2 linked regions of the Lonchura striata genome follow. The protein of the gene in region 1 purifies or fractionates together with the protein of each later gene. This does not show direct contact. Links are inferred from orthologs where the notes say so. Each region holds a gene or a part of one and is shown on either strand. Other genes may lie near its edges.

Evidence for each region. Proteins that work in one complex are often made in the same cells at the same time.
Region 2: the proteins of SUV39H1 (region 1) and EHMT1 purify together in Homo sapiens (co-immunoprecipitation; 3 studies listed by BioGRID and IntAct, with this or other methods). This does not show direct contact. The link is inferred for Lonchura striata from reciprocal best matches to the Homo sapiens genes SUV39H1 and EHMT1.

The regions. Positions count from the first base shown.
Region 1 is NC_134638.1:1,546,662-1,554,573, forward strand, and holds the start of SUV39H1 (histone-lysine N-methyltransferase SUV39H1), read right to left. Parts: upstream 3,001-7,912; coding exon 2,791-3,000; intron 2,727-2,790; coding exon 2,609-2,726; intron 2,098-2,608; coding exon 1,952-2,097; intron 188-1,951; coding exon 1-187. Other genes in the region: actin nucleation-promoting factor WAS, read right to left, coding at 3,200-3,252, 3,349-3,451, 4,508-4,610, 5,526-5,695, 6,788-6,830, 7,809-7,912. UniProt on the Homo sapiens protein: Histone methyltransferase that specifically trimethylates 'Lys-9' of histone H3 using monomethylated H3 'Lys-9' as substrate. Also weakly methylates histone H1 (in vitro).
Region 2 is NC_134624.1:4,059,736-4,066,799, forward strand, and holds the start of EHMT1 (histone-lysine N-methyltransferase EHMT1), read right to left. Parts: upstream 3,002-7,064; 5' UTR 2,920-3,001; coding exon 2,857-2,919; intron 291-2,856; exon of another isoform or gene 1-290. UniProt on the Homo sapiens protein: Histone methyltransferase that specifically mono- and dimethylates 'Lys-9' of histone H3 (H3K9me1 and H3K9me2, respectively) in euchromatin.

The DNA of each region.
Region 1 (7,912 bases):
TCTCCAAGTACAACATGGCGCGCGCCGGCAGACCGCGGCGGCCCGGCCGCACCGGCCCGCCCGGCGCCCGGGCCAGGTCGGCGTGCAGCTGCTGCAGCAGCCCGCGGCAGCGCAGGTTGCGGCGCGGCTCCCAGGTGTTGGCCGACGAGGGGTAACCACGCCACTTGACCAGGTAGAAATCCTCGTTCTGCGTGGGTGGGGGGATAAAGGCGGGGTTAAAGGGGGGTTTGGGGTAGGGGGTGGGCAGTGGGGACCCCCAGGTGTGGGGACTCAAAAGGTCTGGGGGGTTCCTGGAGTGACCGCAAGGTCTGGAGACGCTGGGGGGTCTCATGAGGTCGGGAGGGACGCGGGAATCTGGAGGACTCTGAGGGTCTCACGAGGTCTGGGGGTTCCTGGGGTGACCCCACTGTGGGGGTCCTTTGGGGGTCTAAGAGGGTTCAGGGGGTCCTGGAGTGACCCCAATGTCCAGAGACCCTGTGGGGCTTTTTTGGGGCTGGGGCTTCTTGGAGTGACACCAATGCCCAGGGACCCTGTGGGGCTCTTTTGGGCTGGGGGTTCCTGGAGTGACCCCAGGGACCCTTTGGGGCTTTTTTGGGTCTGGGGGTTCCTGGAGTGACCCCAATGCCCAGAGACCCTGTGGGGCTTTTTTGGGGCTGGGGGTTCCTGGAGTGACCCCAATGTCCAGGGACCCTGTGGGGCTTTTTTGGGGCTGGGGGTTCCTGGAGTGACCCCAGGGACCCTGTGGAGCTTTTTTGGGTCTGGGGGTTCTTGGAGTGACCCCAATGCCCAGGGACCCTGTGGGGCTTTTTTGGGTCTGGGGGTTCCTGGAGTGACCCCAATGCCCAGGGACCCTGTGGGGCTTTTTTGGGTCTGGGGGTTCCTGGAGTGACCCCAGGGACCCTGTGGAGCTTTTTTGGGTCTGGGGGTTCCTGGAGTGACCCCAATGTCCAGAGACCCTGTGGGGCCGAACTGGGTCAGAGATTCTTGGGGTGTCGAAGCCTGGGGACCTTAAAGGAGACCCCGACGTCCCTGTGGGGGCTCACGAGGCCAGGGGGGTTTTGGGGTCACCAGGGGGTCCCCGTTTGCCCCCAGGGGGTCTGGCAGTGCCCAGTGTGGGGGTCCTGGGCCAATTCTGGGTTTGGGGGTCCCAGTTTGGGGGCCTGGCTGGATTCCTGGTCTTTGTGGGGTGGAATCCCGGTTTGGGGGTCCCGTGTAGGGGTCCCCGCTCTGTTCCCAGTGTCTGTGGGGGTCCCGGTTCGGGGGTCCCGGGTCAGCTCCCAGTTTGGGGTGCTGATTTGGGGGTCCCGGGTCAGCTCCCAGTTTGGGGGTCCCGGTTCGGGGGTCCCGGGTCAGCTCCCAGTTTGGGGTGCCGGTTCGGGGGTCCCGGGTCAGCTCCCAGTTTGGGGGTGCTGGTTCGGGGGTCCCGGGTCAGCTCCCAGTTTGGGGGTGCTGGTTCGGGGGTCCCGGGTCAGCTCCCAGTTTGGGGGTCCCAGTGTCTGTAGGGATCCCGATTTGGGGGTCCCGGTTCGGGGCTCCCGGGTCGGTTCCCCGTCCGGAGGTCCCGGTTCGGGGGTCCCGTCCGGGGGTCCCGGGTTGGTTCCCCGCTCGGGGTCCCGGGTCGGTTCCCCGCTCGGGGTCCCGGTTCGGGGGTCCCGTCCGGGGGTCCCGGGTCGGTTCCCAGCTCGGGGGTCCCGTCCAGGGATCCCGGGTCGGTTCCCAGCTCGGGGTCCCGGTTCGGGGGTCCCGTCCGGGGGTCCCGGGTCGGTTCCCAGCTCGGGGGTCCCGTCCGGGGCTCCCGGGTCGGTTCCCCGTTCGGGGTCCCGGTTCGGGGGTCCCGGGTCGGTTCCCCGTTCGGGGTCCCGGTTCGGGGGTCCCGGGTCGGTTCCCAGCTCGGGGGTCCCGTGTCGGTTCCCAGCTCGGGGGTCCCGTCCGGGGGTCCCGCGCCCCTCACCCGCACTCGCCGGTAGTCGCAGATCGTCTCCACCTCGAACTCGGCGAGGTTGCGGCGGGTGACCCCCAGGGCGCGGCACCGCACGCGCTGCAGCCGGCACAGCTCCTGCAGCCGCGGCCAGGGCGACAGGCAGCACACGGAGCACTCTGCGGGCGGCACCGGGGCGACAGCGTCAGGGGACGGGCGGCACCATCGAGCCGAGCCGAGCCGAGCCAGCCGAGCCGAGCCGAGCCGAGCCGAGCCGAGCCGAGCCGAGCCGAGCCGAGCCGAGCCTCTCCCGCCCGTTCCCGCCACTTCCCCCCGCTTCCCTCAGGCGCCAACGGCCGCGCGCGGGCAGCGCCGCCGGCCCCTCAGAGCGCCCCCGGCCCGGTTCTCCCCCTCCCGCAGCCCCGGAGACCCCCCGGGCCCGCCCCGCTCTCGCCACCTTTTAAATTTTCCGCCATTTTCAGCCGCCGCCGCTTTTTTTTTTGTCGTTTTCCGCCTTTTTTTTTTTTTTTTTTTTTTCTTTCTGGCGCCGCTTCCGCCCGGCGGGCAGCGCGGGGGGCGGGGCTTCCTCTGCCCGCGCCCAGCGCCCATTGGCTGGCCCGGCTGCTGATTTGCATAGTGACAGCAGCCCGCGCGCCTTCCATTGGCTGATGCGGTGATTAATTTCCATACCGACACCGTCGCGCCCCTTCTCTATTGGCCACCGCGCCGCTTTATTTGCATAATATCTGATCCCGCCATTGGCCGCCGCGTCGATTGATTTGCATAGCGCTCCCAGCAGCACCCGCGACTGTTCGTTTACATACTGGTGCGAAGGGACCGGTTTCCATTGGCCGCGGCGCTGCCTCATTTACATATCGCTCCCAGCAGCGCCCGCGCACGGCGCCGATCCCGAATTCCGCCGTTTTTCCCCCATTTTCCGCGCGGTTTTCCCGGCTCGGAGCCGCTGGAAGCGCCGGGATCCCCTCGGGGCCCCTCCCCGAGCCGCTGGATTCCCGCTCCCTCTCCTCGCTGCCGGGGCTCATTAAACGGTAATTAATGAGCGATTCATTAACGAGGCGCATGGTCACGTGACTCCTGCGTTTATTTGGGGGGGGGGGGGGGGGCACGAGGGGGGGAAAAAAGGGGAGGGGGGGCAGGAAAAGCCGGGGCCCCTCCCCCCCCGAGCTGGGGGAGGGGCGCAGGCGGGGTGGGGGAGGGGTGGGGGGGGCCCCAATTTGGGTCTGGGGGCGTCTCGAGGGAGGGGGAGGGGCAGGGGGGGTCTCACTCGTCCCATTCATCATCATCCTCCTCCTCCTCGCTGGCTGTGCCTTCATCTGGGGGGGCGACAATGGAGAGGGGTCGGGGGGTTTTTTTGGGGGGATTTTGGGGGTTTTGGGGTTGTTTTGTTTTAATTTGGGGAGGGGTCTCACCCGAGGAATGGATGACGCGGCTTCGCTTCTGCATCACGTCCATCAGGGCCCCCACGAGCCCCCCCGCGCCGGGACCCGCGCCCACCTCGGGGGTCTCAGGGGTCTGGGGGGGGGGGTGGGAAATGGGGAGGGGTCAGGCAGGGTCCTCCCCCACCAGCCCCTCCCCCACGGCCACGTCAAAAGGTCAGGGGAGCCCCCCAAGAAATCACGAGACCACCCACCCAAAAAAAAGGGGCATGGAACAGCCCCTCCCCCATCCCATGGAGACCCCCAAAGGTCACAGGACCCCCCCCTTGGACACCCCCCCCCAATTTTTGGGGTCTCCTCCCATTCTTGGGGTCCCACTCCCATTTTTGGCTCCACCCCACCCGTTTTTGGGGTCCCCATCCCAATTTTTGGTGTCCCCCTCCCTATTTTTTGGTGTCCCCCTTCCATTTTTGGGGTCTCCATCCCCATTTTTGAGCTCCCCCTCCCCATTTTCGGTCTCCCCCTCCCCATTTTTGGTGCCCCCTCCCCATTTTTGGTGCCCCCTCCCCATTTTCGGTCTCCCCCTCCCCATTTTTTGGTGCCCCCTCCCCATTTTTGGTGCCCCCTCCCCATTTTCGGTGTCCCCCTCCCCATTTTTGGTGCCCCCTCCCCAATTTCGGTCTCCCCCTCCCCATTTTTTGGTGCCCCCTCCCCATTTTTGGTGCCCCCTCCCCATTTTCGGTCTCCCCCTCCCCGTTTTTGGTGCCCCCTCCCCATTTTCGGTCTCCCCCCCCCATTTTCAGTCTCCCCCTCCCCATTTTCGGTGTCCCCCTCCCCATTTTTGGTGCCCCCTCCCCATTTTCGGTGTCCCCCTCCCCAGTTTTGGTGCCCCCTCCCCATTTTTGGTGCCCCCTCCCCATTTTCGGTCTCCCCCTCCCCGTTTTTGGGGTCCCCGACCTTGTTGAGCGTCACCCCCTGGCGGATCTGGTCCAGCAGCGCCCCCCGGCCGGGGGGGGTCGCGGGGGGGACCCCGGAGGGGGGAGGGGGCGGCGGAGGGGGGGAGGGGGCGGGGCGGCGGCGCCCGGGGGGGCGGGGCCTCGCGGGGGAGGGGCGGGGCCTCGCGGAGGGGGAGGGGCGGGGGGAGGGGCGGGGCCGGCGCGGGGTGGGGGAGGGGCCGGGACCGCCGAGCGGGAGCGGGAGGAGGGGGGGGAGGGGCGGGGGGAGGGGCGGGGCTCCCGCGGCCCGGGGGGGGAGGGGGCGGTCCTGGGGGAGGAGAGAGAGGAGGGGGAGGGGTCAGAGGGGGCACGGGGGGGCACAGAGACCCGCCGGGTGCCCCCAGGTGTGCCCAGGTGTGCCCAGGTCCCTCCCAGGTGTGCCCGGCCCCACCCCCAGGTGTGTCCCAGGTACCCCCAGGTGTGCCCAGGTGTGCCCAGGTATCCCCAGGTGTGCCCAGGTATCCCCAGGTGCCCCCCAGTTGTGCCCAGGTGTGCCCAGGTACCCCCAGGTGTGCCCAGGTGTGCCCAGGTACCCCCAGGTGTGCCCAGGTACCCCCAGGTGTGTCCCAGGTACCCCCAGGTATCCCCAGGTGCCCCCCAGTTGTACCCAGGTGTGCCCAGGTCCCTCCCAGGTGTGCCCAGGTGTGCCTAGTCCCACCCCCAGGTGTGTCCCAGGTACCCCCAGGTGTGCCCAGGTGTCTCTAGGTTTCCCAGGTCCCTCCCAGGTGCCCCCAGGTGTGCCCAGGAACCCCCAGGTGTGCCCAGGTCCCTCCCAGGTGCCCCCAGGTGTGCCCAGGAACCCCCAGGTGTGCCCAGGTCCCTCCCAGGTGCTCCCAGGTGTGCCCAGGTGCTCCCAGCTGTCCCCAGGAGCCCCCAGGTCCCTCCCAGGTGTGCCCAGGTGCCCCCCAGGTGTCTCTAGGTTTCTCCCAGCTGTCCCCAGGTCCCTCCCAGGTGTGCCCAGGTGTGCCCAGATGTGCCCAGGTCCCTCCCAGGTGTGCCCAGGTGTGCCCAGATGTGCCCAGGTCCCTCCCAGGTGTGCCCAGGTGCTCCCAGCTGTCCCCAGGTCCCTCCCAGGTGTGCCCAGGTGTGCCCAGGTCCCTCCCAGGTGTGCCCAGCTGTGCCCAGGTGCTCCCAGCTGTCCCCAGGTCCCTCCCAGGTGTGCCCAGGTCCCTCCCAGGTGTGCCCAGGTGTGCCCAGGTGTGCCCAGGTGCCCCAGGCGCCCCGTGCCCACCCTGGCGCCGCATCTCCTCGCGCACGGCCTGCAGCCCGCCCCGGCGCTCGATGAAGTCGTGGATCAGGCGCGAGGTCTCGGCGTCGGCCAAGTGGCGCTCGCTGACCCCGGCCTGGGCGAAGAGGGACCGCAGGGCGGGGTCCATGGCGGCCAGCTGGGGACAGGGACACGGTGAGGGGACAGGGACACCCCGCGGGGTCAGTGTCACCCTACACAGGGTCAGTGTCACCCCTCGGGTCACTCTCACCCCTCAGGGTCACTGACAGCCCACACAGGGTCAGTGTCACCCCACGGGGTCAGTGTCACCCCACGGGGTCAGTGTCACCCCACGGGGTCAGTGTCACCCCACAGGGTCAGTGTCACCCCATGGAACAAGAGGGACCGCAGGGCGGGGTCCAGGGCGGCCAGCTGGGGACAGGGACACGGTGAGGGGACAGGGACACCCCGCGGGGTCAGAGTCACACCCCGCGGGGTCAGTGTCACACCCCGCGGGGTCAGTGTCACACCCCGCGGGGTCACTGTCACACCCCACGGGGTCAGTGTCACACCCCTTGGGTCACTGTCACCCTACACAGGGTCAGTGTCACCCCGCGGGGTCAGTGTCACACCCCGCGGGGTCAGTGTCACCCCGCGGGGTCAGTGTCACACCCCACAGGGTCAGTGTCATCCCTCGGGTCACTGTCACCCTGCACGGGATCGTTGTCACCCCTCAGGGTCACTGTCACCCCACAGGGTCAGTGTCACCCCACACAGGGTGAGTGTCACCCCACACAGGGTCAGTGTCACCCCTCGGGTCACTGTCACCAGGGTCAGTGTCACCCCTCGGGTCACTGTCACCCTGCACGGGATCGCTGTCACCCCTCGGGTCCCTGTCACCCCTCAGGGTCACTGTCACCAGGGTCAGTGTCACCCCACAGGGTCAGTGTCACCCCACACAGGGTCACTGTCACCCCTCGGGTCACTGTCACCCCCAGGGTCACTGTCACCCCTTGGGTTACTGTCACCCCTCAGGTCACTGTCACCCCACACGGGATCGCTGTCACCCCTCAGGGTCACTGTCACCCTGCACGGGATCGCTGTCACCCCTCGGGTCACTGTCACCCCTCACAGGGTCGCTGTCACCCCAGGGTCACCCCATGGGGACCCCGGGCCAGGCCCAGGGATGCCACCTGGGCAGGGACATCTGTCACCCCCCGTGGGGTCACCCCGGGGTCACTGTCACCCACTTGGGGGAGGTGTCACCCACATCGAAGCCACCAGTGGGGTCCCACCCGATGTGACCGACGTGCCTGGAGGGGGAGGGGAGAGCGGTGAGACCCCCGCGACCCCCCGGAACCCCCCAGACCCCAAAATCCCCCTGGAGACCCCCCAAAACCTCCCAAGAGATGGCCCCAAACCGACCCCCACACCCCCCAAACCGACCCCCACATCCCCCAAATCGACCCCCACACCCCCCAAACCGACCCCCACATCCCCCAAACCGACCCCCACACCCCCCAAACCGACCCCCACATCCCCCAAACCGACCCCCACATCCCCCAAACCGACCCCCACACCCCCCAAACCGACCCCCACATCCCCCAAACCGACCCCCACATCCCCCAAACCGACCCCCACATCTCCCAAATCCTCCCCACCCTAAATCCCCCCCCAGACCTAAATCCCCCCAACATTCCCCAAATCCCCCCCAGACCCCAAATTCCCCCCCCATCCCCCAAATCCCCCCATCCCCCAAACCGACCCCCACATTCCCCAAACCGACCCCCACACCCCCCAAACCGACCCCCACACCCCCCAAATCGACCCCCACATTCCCAAAATCCTCCCCACCCTAAATCCCCCCCAGACCCAAATCCCCCCCAAAATCCCCCCATCTCCCAAATCCCCCCATACCCAAAACCCCCCCAACATCCCCCAAATCCCCCCAGACCCCAAATCCCCCCAAACCCCAAATCCCCCCATCCCCCAAATCCCCCCATCCCCCAAATCCCCCCCAGACCCCAAATCCCATCCCCCAAATCCCATCCCCCAAATCCCCCCCAGACCCAAAATCCCATCCCCCAAATCCCCCATCCCCCAAATCCCATCCCCCCAAATCCCAGACCCCAAATCCCATCCCCCAAATCCCCCCAGACCCCAAATCCCATCCCCCAAATCCCCCCAGACCCCAAATCCCCCCCAGACCCCAAATCCCATCCCCCCAAATCCCATCCCCCAAATCCCATCCCCCAAATCCCCCCAGACCCCAAATCCCCCCCCAGACCCACTTGAATCCGGAGGGGACCCCGATATCGGCCTTGGAGATTTTCTTGCGCCCCCTCCCCTTTTTCCGCTGGCCGGGGGGGGCCCCGGGGGCGGGCGGGGGTCCCGA
Region 2 (7,064 bases), on another chromosome or scaffold:
CCGCTCCATTCCAGCCCTCTCCCTGTCTGTGCTGATCATACTTCACAGGTGAAAGCAGCTCTGACTTATGACAGAGAGAAAATGCCAGAAGAGCTGGAGGTTTCCTCATCCTTGGAACAAGGACAAGTTGTGAAAAGCTTCCTTTGCAAGAGCCACTGTGCTGCTCAGGCACAGTATGGCAGTGTTGCAGGGAGGACACTTGCACGTCAGACCTTCTTAACCCCCACTGCCTCGGCCCTTCTCACCTCCTTCCCCCTCCTGATGGGGACTGAAGGAAAAACATATTTAAATCACCTGTTTTGGAGGATGCAAGTTGTTGTGTTGGAGTCCAGGATGTTTTTTAAAAGCTTGCTCAACATTTTCTCCCCTTTTATATTTCCCTTTTCTTTTTTCTAATGGATGCTTTCCAATTAGCTTGTACAGTTTGAGAGCTTCGCTCCTGCTGCTTTCCTGACTACTGTAAATCCTGGCAGGCTGCCCTCCTCCTCTGCCCCCCTCCAGGACCAACACCACCCTACAGCAAAGCCAGACACATATCCTCCACCCAAGAGACCAAGGAGCTCACAGGGGCACAAGAGGGACAAATCCCACTGGAAACATGAGAGGCCATAAGGGTCTGCAAAGAGGGAGCTGGTGTTTGGAGGAGTCAGAAAAAATAACTGGCTGAAAATGGGAGTTGAGGATTATTAATTCAGGGATTTGTTTCCAAATCACTGACATTCCATGTCACTGCAGGAACATATGGTCCTCCAAGGCTTGCAAGCAGGGAGCACACGCCATCAGTGCCCTGAGCTTTTGGGCTGACCCCAACACACGGTCACTCTCCCGCTGCGGCCATTCCTCGACCACTCTCAGCTTCAGGAGCAGGAAGGCGAGAAGGAAAAACTTCAGGGAAAAGCAGCAAAAGGAAAACAAAGAGGAGCAGCAGGAACCAAGTCAGCCCTCCCCCAAACCAGCTGGCCAGGAGAGCAAAGCTCCTTAAAACTCCTTGTTTACCTGAATAAAACAACTCACTGCCATTGCATGAGGTGCACACAACTCTCTTTCCTCAGGAGATGGCATCACATGGGAGAGCTCCCAGGAGCCAGGTCATGGAGCTGCCTCTGCCCCCTGCCCAGGGCTGGTCTCACAGAGGCTGAGCTGCAGGAATATGCCTCATATGTGCCACAGAGCCTAGTCCTACCCAAACATGTCCTGGGACGAGGGCAAGAGCTCGTGCTGGCACCGCACAGGCAGTTAAATACATGAAACAGAACAAAACCAAGACCCAAAGGCCCCACTTTGGGCTCTTAACCCTTGCTGAGAAGCAGTGCCAAGCCCAGACCTCGGCGGCTCTCTTCCCTCCAAAGTAGGTCAGGCTTTTCTGCGTCTCTGCAGACGCTTCCCAAGGGCCCCAGCCGGCAGGGACAGAGCGTTGGGCACTTCCAGCCAAAGCCACGCTGGTGTCACCACCACACAGGAGCACACCTCCCACACCTCAGAGGGTTTTTGGTTGTCTCCTCAGCCTTCATCAAGCCCAAAGCTCATTTTCTCCCTGAGTGAAGCTGCTCAGGCAGCAGGTCAAGGCCTCAGCTCTTCACTGTTAAAGAGAAATCTCAGCTCTCTCCTCCTGACTTCTGATGCCTTTTCCTTTTCTTCTGAATGATGAACAATGAGCACATTTATCATCCAGTGGAGAAACAACAGATATTTAGATTAGGTATCACAGATTGTCCCATGTAAGCTCCCTGATATTTTAAATGCCATCTTCACATCTTGCTCCTTGATTGAAAGTTCAATATTGTGTCAACATTGCAGATTCGAGGGTCTCCCTGGAGCACAGCAAGCTCAGGCCAGTGTTCTGCAGGGCTGTCCGTGCCTTCCAGGGGCCTGGGACCTTCTGTGTCCATCCCAAATCTCACCAAGGTCTGTGGCAGCCAACAGTTCTTGCATGTAACACAAATCACAGAGGAAAAAAAAAATCCCAAGGGCAGAACCGGGGGGCTGAGTTTTAAAATATGTTGCAGGCATGTTCCTGCCATGAAGTCAACCACGGATGTTTCCTTTGCATCAGATGTTTCCTTGGATTGCTATTATGAAAAAAAAATTAAAAAAAAAGAAGAGAGAAGGGAGGAAGTGACCCCAAAATAAAAAGGATTGCTTCTTCCTGGTAAAATGCTGTTGGCTCTGGCCTCCACCCCAGCAAGCCATAGGCAGAGGCTGTCAAAAGAGACCCAGTGAGGAGGTGCCATGTGGCCACAGGCCCTCTCCTCCCCTTTAGACATTCAGTCTTCAAGCAGCTCGGGCACCCCAGGCTTTGTGCCTTTTTCTTCTAACAGCTACAAGCAGCTCCTTGGAGAATTTTCCAGAAACTTCACACTTTAAAAGCACAAACAAATCCTAAAAACACCAAAAAAAAAAAAAAAAGAACCAAAAACCCAAAACCAAACCAACCCCAAGCGAGCTTCCCCACCCCAGGAGACAAACGAAAGGCACGAGGAAACAAAGCCCGAGGTTTGCCGGCGGCGCTGCCGGGCGCCGAGGCCCCTCGGAGCCCATGGAAGAGCCATCCCAGCAGGATGGGCCATGCCAGCAGGATGGGCCATCCCAGCAGGATGGGCCATGCCTGCAGGATGGGCCATGCCTGCAGGATGGGCCATGCCTGCAGATGGGCCATGCCAGCAGGATGGGCCATGCCCACCCCGCACCGGGCAGCCGCGCGCAGGAATATCCAAACAAATGAACAAACAGCCCCGGCCATGCTTCCCCGGCCTCTGCTCCTCCTCTCCTCTCCAAGGCTTCTCCTTCCCGGGCAGGACGCAGCCCTGCCCTGCCAGGGCCTCGCCAGGCACGGGAGGTGGACGGACCCTGCGGTACCTGCGGGCAGCTGTTGTCTTCTTCTGGTGAAGACTCCAAGAGTTGCATATTCCAGATCCTCATGAGCAGTGATTCAGTTTCTGCTCATGTGATAAAGCTCCCTCTACAGAGTGAGCATGCCCAGAAGAGCCCATTTCACTGCTCCCTCCACTGCAGCCATTTCACAGAGAACCTGCCGGCTCCAGGGCGTCCATTGGAGCGCGATTATCCCGGGCATCCCCGGGACGCACCGGTAATGCAGATCATCTGTCAACTTTCTGACAGGGCGCCAGGCCTCAAAACTGATCACTCGCCTGAAAAAAAGAGAAAGCTTTTTAAACCAGAGTGCTGTCTCGTGGCCTTCAAGAGTAGCACTTGCCCGTGGGAAAAGGAGAGGCAGGAAGGACAGGGAGGGATGTGAGTGGCTTGGGGATGTCCCTGGGCTGATTTTGTAGTGCTTAACGAAGTGCCCAACCTCTGAGAGCTGGGATGAAGGCACATGGGTTAAACTGATGCAGGGAGCAGTGCCCAAGACAGCGTCTCTTCGAGATCTGAACTGCTGATCTGAAGGGGAGATCATTTTCACTTTGGGGATTAATAACCTGACCTGGTACAACTGACTTTGAAAGGGTATCACAAACACAGTCATGGAAAAGCAGGGGGGGAACAGAATGAAGGGACATCCTCATGGATCCATCCTCATCCCCACCCTAATGAAGGGATAGTTCACTACAAGGCACAGGAGCTCTAAGCTCAGTCTATGTCAAACCCTACAATACTGCTGGCCCCAGCCAGCAAGATAACAGAAGAAATTTTAGCTTCAAAATAAAAGTAGTTTGTCTCTGTTCCACTTCACAATTAAGCATAAACTCTTGGCAACCTTCATATCTGCTCAGGCTCCCAGTAAAACTGCCAGAGCAGCTCGCAGGAACATCTGTAAGCAGAGCTCGGCTGGAAGGGATTCAAGGAAGACTGGCATTTATTGGAGGCAGGAGCAGGAGGCTGCTGGAGCCGGGTGTCAGGCTGGAGAACCTCCCCCCGAGCAGGGGGAGGGCAGCCAGCAACCTCGAGGAAGAGGCCAGAAAGAAGAGGAAACTCTGACATGGCCCCGTGGCACCACCCGCGTGCTCTTGGCCAAAGGAAAAACAGCTTTCCAAAAGAGGAGAGCACTGGAGAGCGTCCTCCTAAAGAGAGAGTTCTCTTTAAGAGTAGAAACTACAGTGAGGATGAGTGGAGTGCAATGTGTGACAGTGAGCTGGGAGGGCAGGGAGCAGACTCCACTGCAGGGAGGAACAAGCCATCCAAATCCCTAGGGAGGTTTGGGAGAGCCTGGGGATGAAGTTTGTCCTGCCCCAGCACCAGGCGAGTCCAGGCCTCAGCACAGCACAACAGCCATGGCCGGCTCTGCCAGGCTGGAAACATCCACAAGCCACGTTTCCTCCAGTCCCAGCAGCTCTTTCACCACTGTGGCCAGGCACGTTTGCAGAGCTGCAATAATTAAAGCAGCAAAGAGCTGTTACAGATCTCCCTTGGCTATGAGGATGTTGTTTCCTCTCCACACTCTGGAGAAGTTTCACTACTAAACAGTTAAAACACACAAGGCTAAATTGAGATGATTGAAATTCATAGGCAAGGAGTATTTGAGGTGACAGGATAAAGAAAGGATCACTTTCACCCACCAGGTTTTCATCCAACGTGAGTCTTAAGTTTTAATATACACAAAATGAGGTTTTCCTGGCCTTTCTCTCAGTCACTGAGAGGTGCAGAGGTAACTCATTTAAAGACAAATTCAAAAATCCTCAAACAAAAGCAACAAACCCCAGCTATGTAGACAGGAGTTGCCTTATCCACCGCATCAAAAGATTACTGTACTTCAAACCAAAGATGGCTTTAAAACAGTTGATGCAGTTGATTGCTGCCCTTCCTTGCAGCATGAAATTACCACGCTTTCATTAAAAGCCCAGAAATAGAAACTAAGATATTAACAAAGGCAGTGTCAATGATCCACCACAGTCAACATTCCCTTTCTCAGATAAAATAACGCCCGAGAACGGCGGCACAGCCACAGCCTCCCCACTGCATCTCCACACCAGACATGTGTTCACTGCTGAGGTTAAATATACACTGAGAGCAGATGCTACCAGAGACACTTTTCACATCTCATGGCCATCCTTGAAAGCACTAAACACTGTTTAGAAACAAAAAGGAGAAAGCAGAGCTCACCAGGGTACTGCAGATGCCTCAACAACCAACTTGAGTAAAGCGATCGATCGGTGCCGTAGCAGCATCTCTGCCACGGGGGATGCCTGGGTGTCACTCAGTGAAACCTCACATTTCTGTCATCCAAAAGCAGCAAGAAGCTTGCAGGGCACAGCCATTGGCACTGGGAGAGGTGTCTCTTGCCCGGGACCCCCCTGTCCCCCCTTGGCAGGGGTCAGGTGCTGCACACCAGCAGTCACAGTCCTCTTTCCAGGCTGGCTGAGGAAAAGGTTTTGCTGATGATGGAGGATGAGAACAGGCCTGTGCCCCGAGATGCTGTGCCCTTTATTTAGCCCAAGTGCCCTCCAGCAGCCTTCCCAGCACAGTGACACCCCCCTTTCCAAACATTCCTGCCAGGGCCCACAGATTACAGGGTATTTTCACCCCACAGCTCTCCAGCCTCCCTCCTCTGACTGAAGGCTCAAACACCCCTATCAGAAATCCCACATTTTCAGGAGGAAGGGAGCAGCACAAACACCTCCCTTCACAAAGGACACCAGGTTCCTCAGGGCTCTTGCTTAATGACACCAGTAAGTCCAGCATTTTCACAGCTCCGTTGCAGGGAAGCCTAAGTGGGAGGCAAAGGGAGGTTTTTCTTTTTATAGGAAGAACAATATTTAGCTCTGCAAAATACAGAGGGTTTTCCTTATTTCCTTTCTTCCATCAGGCTTCTCTTCTTGCAGACTCTCCCCTTGATCAAATCTGATGCTCCCTTTCAGCCTCCTCAGAAACAATCCCAAAAGCTGAAGGGACTTTGGGTATGAGATGAGCATTTCTGCTGGAATCCTGATTGTTTCTGCACTGCTATAAACCATTCTCCAGCTTCACCACAAGCTATTCAAACATTCCTTCTGCTCTTCAACCATAATATACAACATTTCTTAATCAGAATAGCTCAGGACATACTGGGTATCCTCAGCACCCTCCAATGTCCACCTCCAGGCTCAGGTAACAGCTTTGAAAGAACAGGCAGTCAACAGGCAGTCATTAATGCATCTTTTGGAATCATAGCTTTCCCCATCTTTTAAAACCTGGTTTTATATCCCTAAAGCTTCCAAGCCATTTCCCTTCCTCTCCTCTTTTCCCCAGTAGAGTTGAAAACTGTTTTTACTTAATAGGAAACCAGAAATGTTCCCTGGGATACTGCACTGAGTAAATCATACACGCTAAAAAGGAAAAAAAAAAAGGAACATAATAGAGATCCTCTTGGACAGCAATTGAGATGTGAGCTCTCTGGGAGATGGTGCTATGTTTTGATAAGAATATGCGTTGAATATTTCATTTACAGGGCAATCCTAGATCTTTATTTAGCAGCATATTGGCCAGACAGCTGTAATTTAGAACATACTGTATTCCTAACAGTTCCCAATTATAAATTCCTTCAGCTTTAACTTACAGTAACCACAGCTCTTTCTATTTTGGAGTTCTAAATCCACCATTTCTCCCCTTCATTCAGCTATGGCATATCAAGAGCTCCTACAGTACAAACAGAGCCTTGCTGGAGAAGGGTCCTAAATCTAGCATTCTCTACCCCCAGCACAGCAAGCAGGCTCTTGCTTCCAGCACACTCACTGTTCCACAGACCAATGTTTTATTGGTTTATTTGGGGACAGTGGCCCCATTTGTCAGTGCAAAGCCATCCTGCAGCGCCCTGCCAGCAGCAGGCTGGGAAAATGGCTGTGCACATTCCATCCTCCTCCTGCTGCAACAAGCGCTGGAGATCCTGCCAACACGCCTCACGTGTTCAGTGTGGCCCTGTTCTTTGACCTCACACCTATTTTTTTTAAGGATTGAGGCACTGACATGAAAATAAGCAAGCTCTTCACTGGAGGAGAATCAGTGCTCCACGAAGCCTTTGTGTCTCTCCCCAGATCATGAGCTCCTGTGGAACAGCGCCTGTTGACGGCTCTCCCAGCCATCCTGCTGACTTTATCAAATTTCTGCAAGGAACAGAAGGAGCAGATGAACTC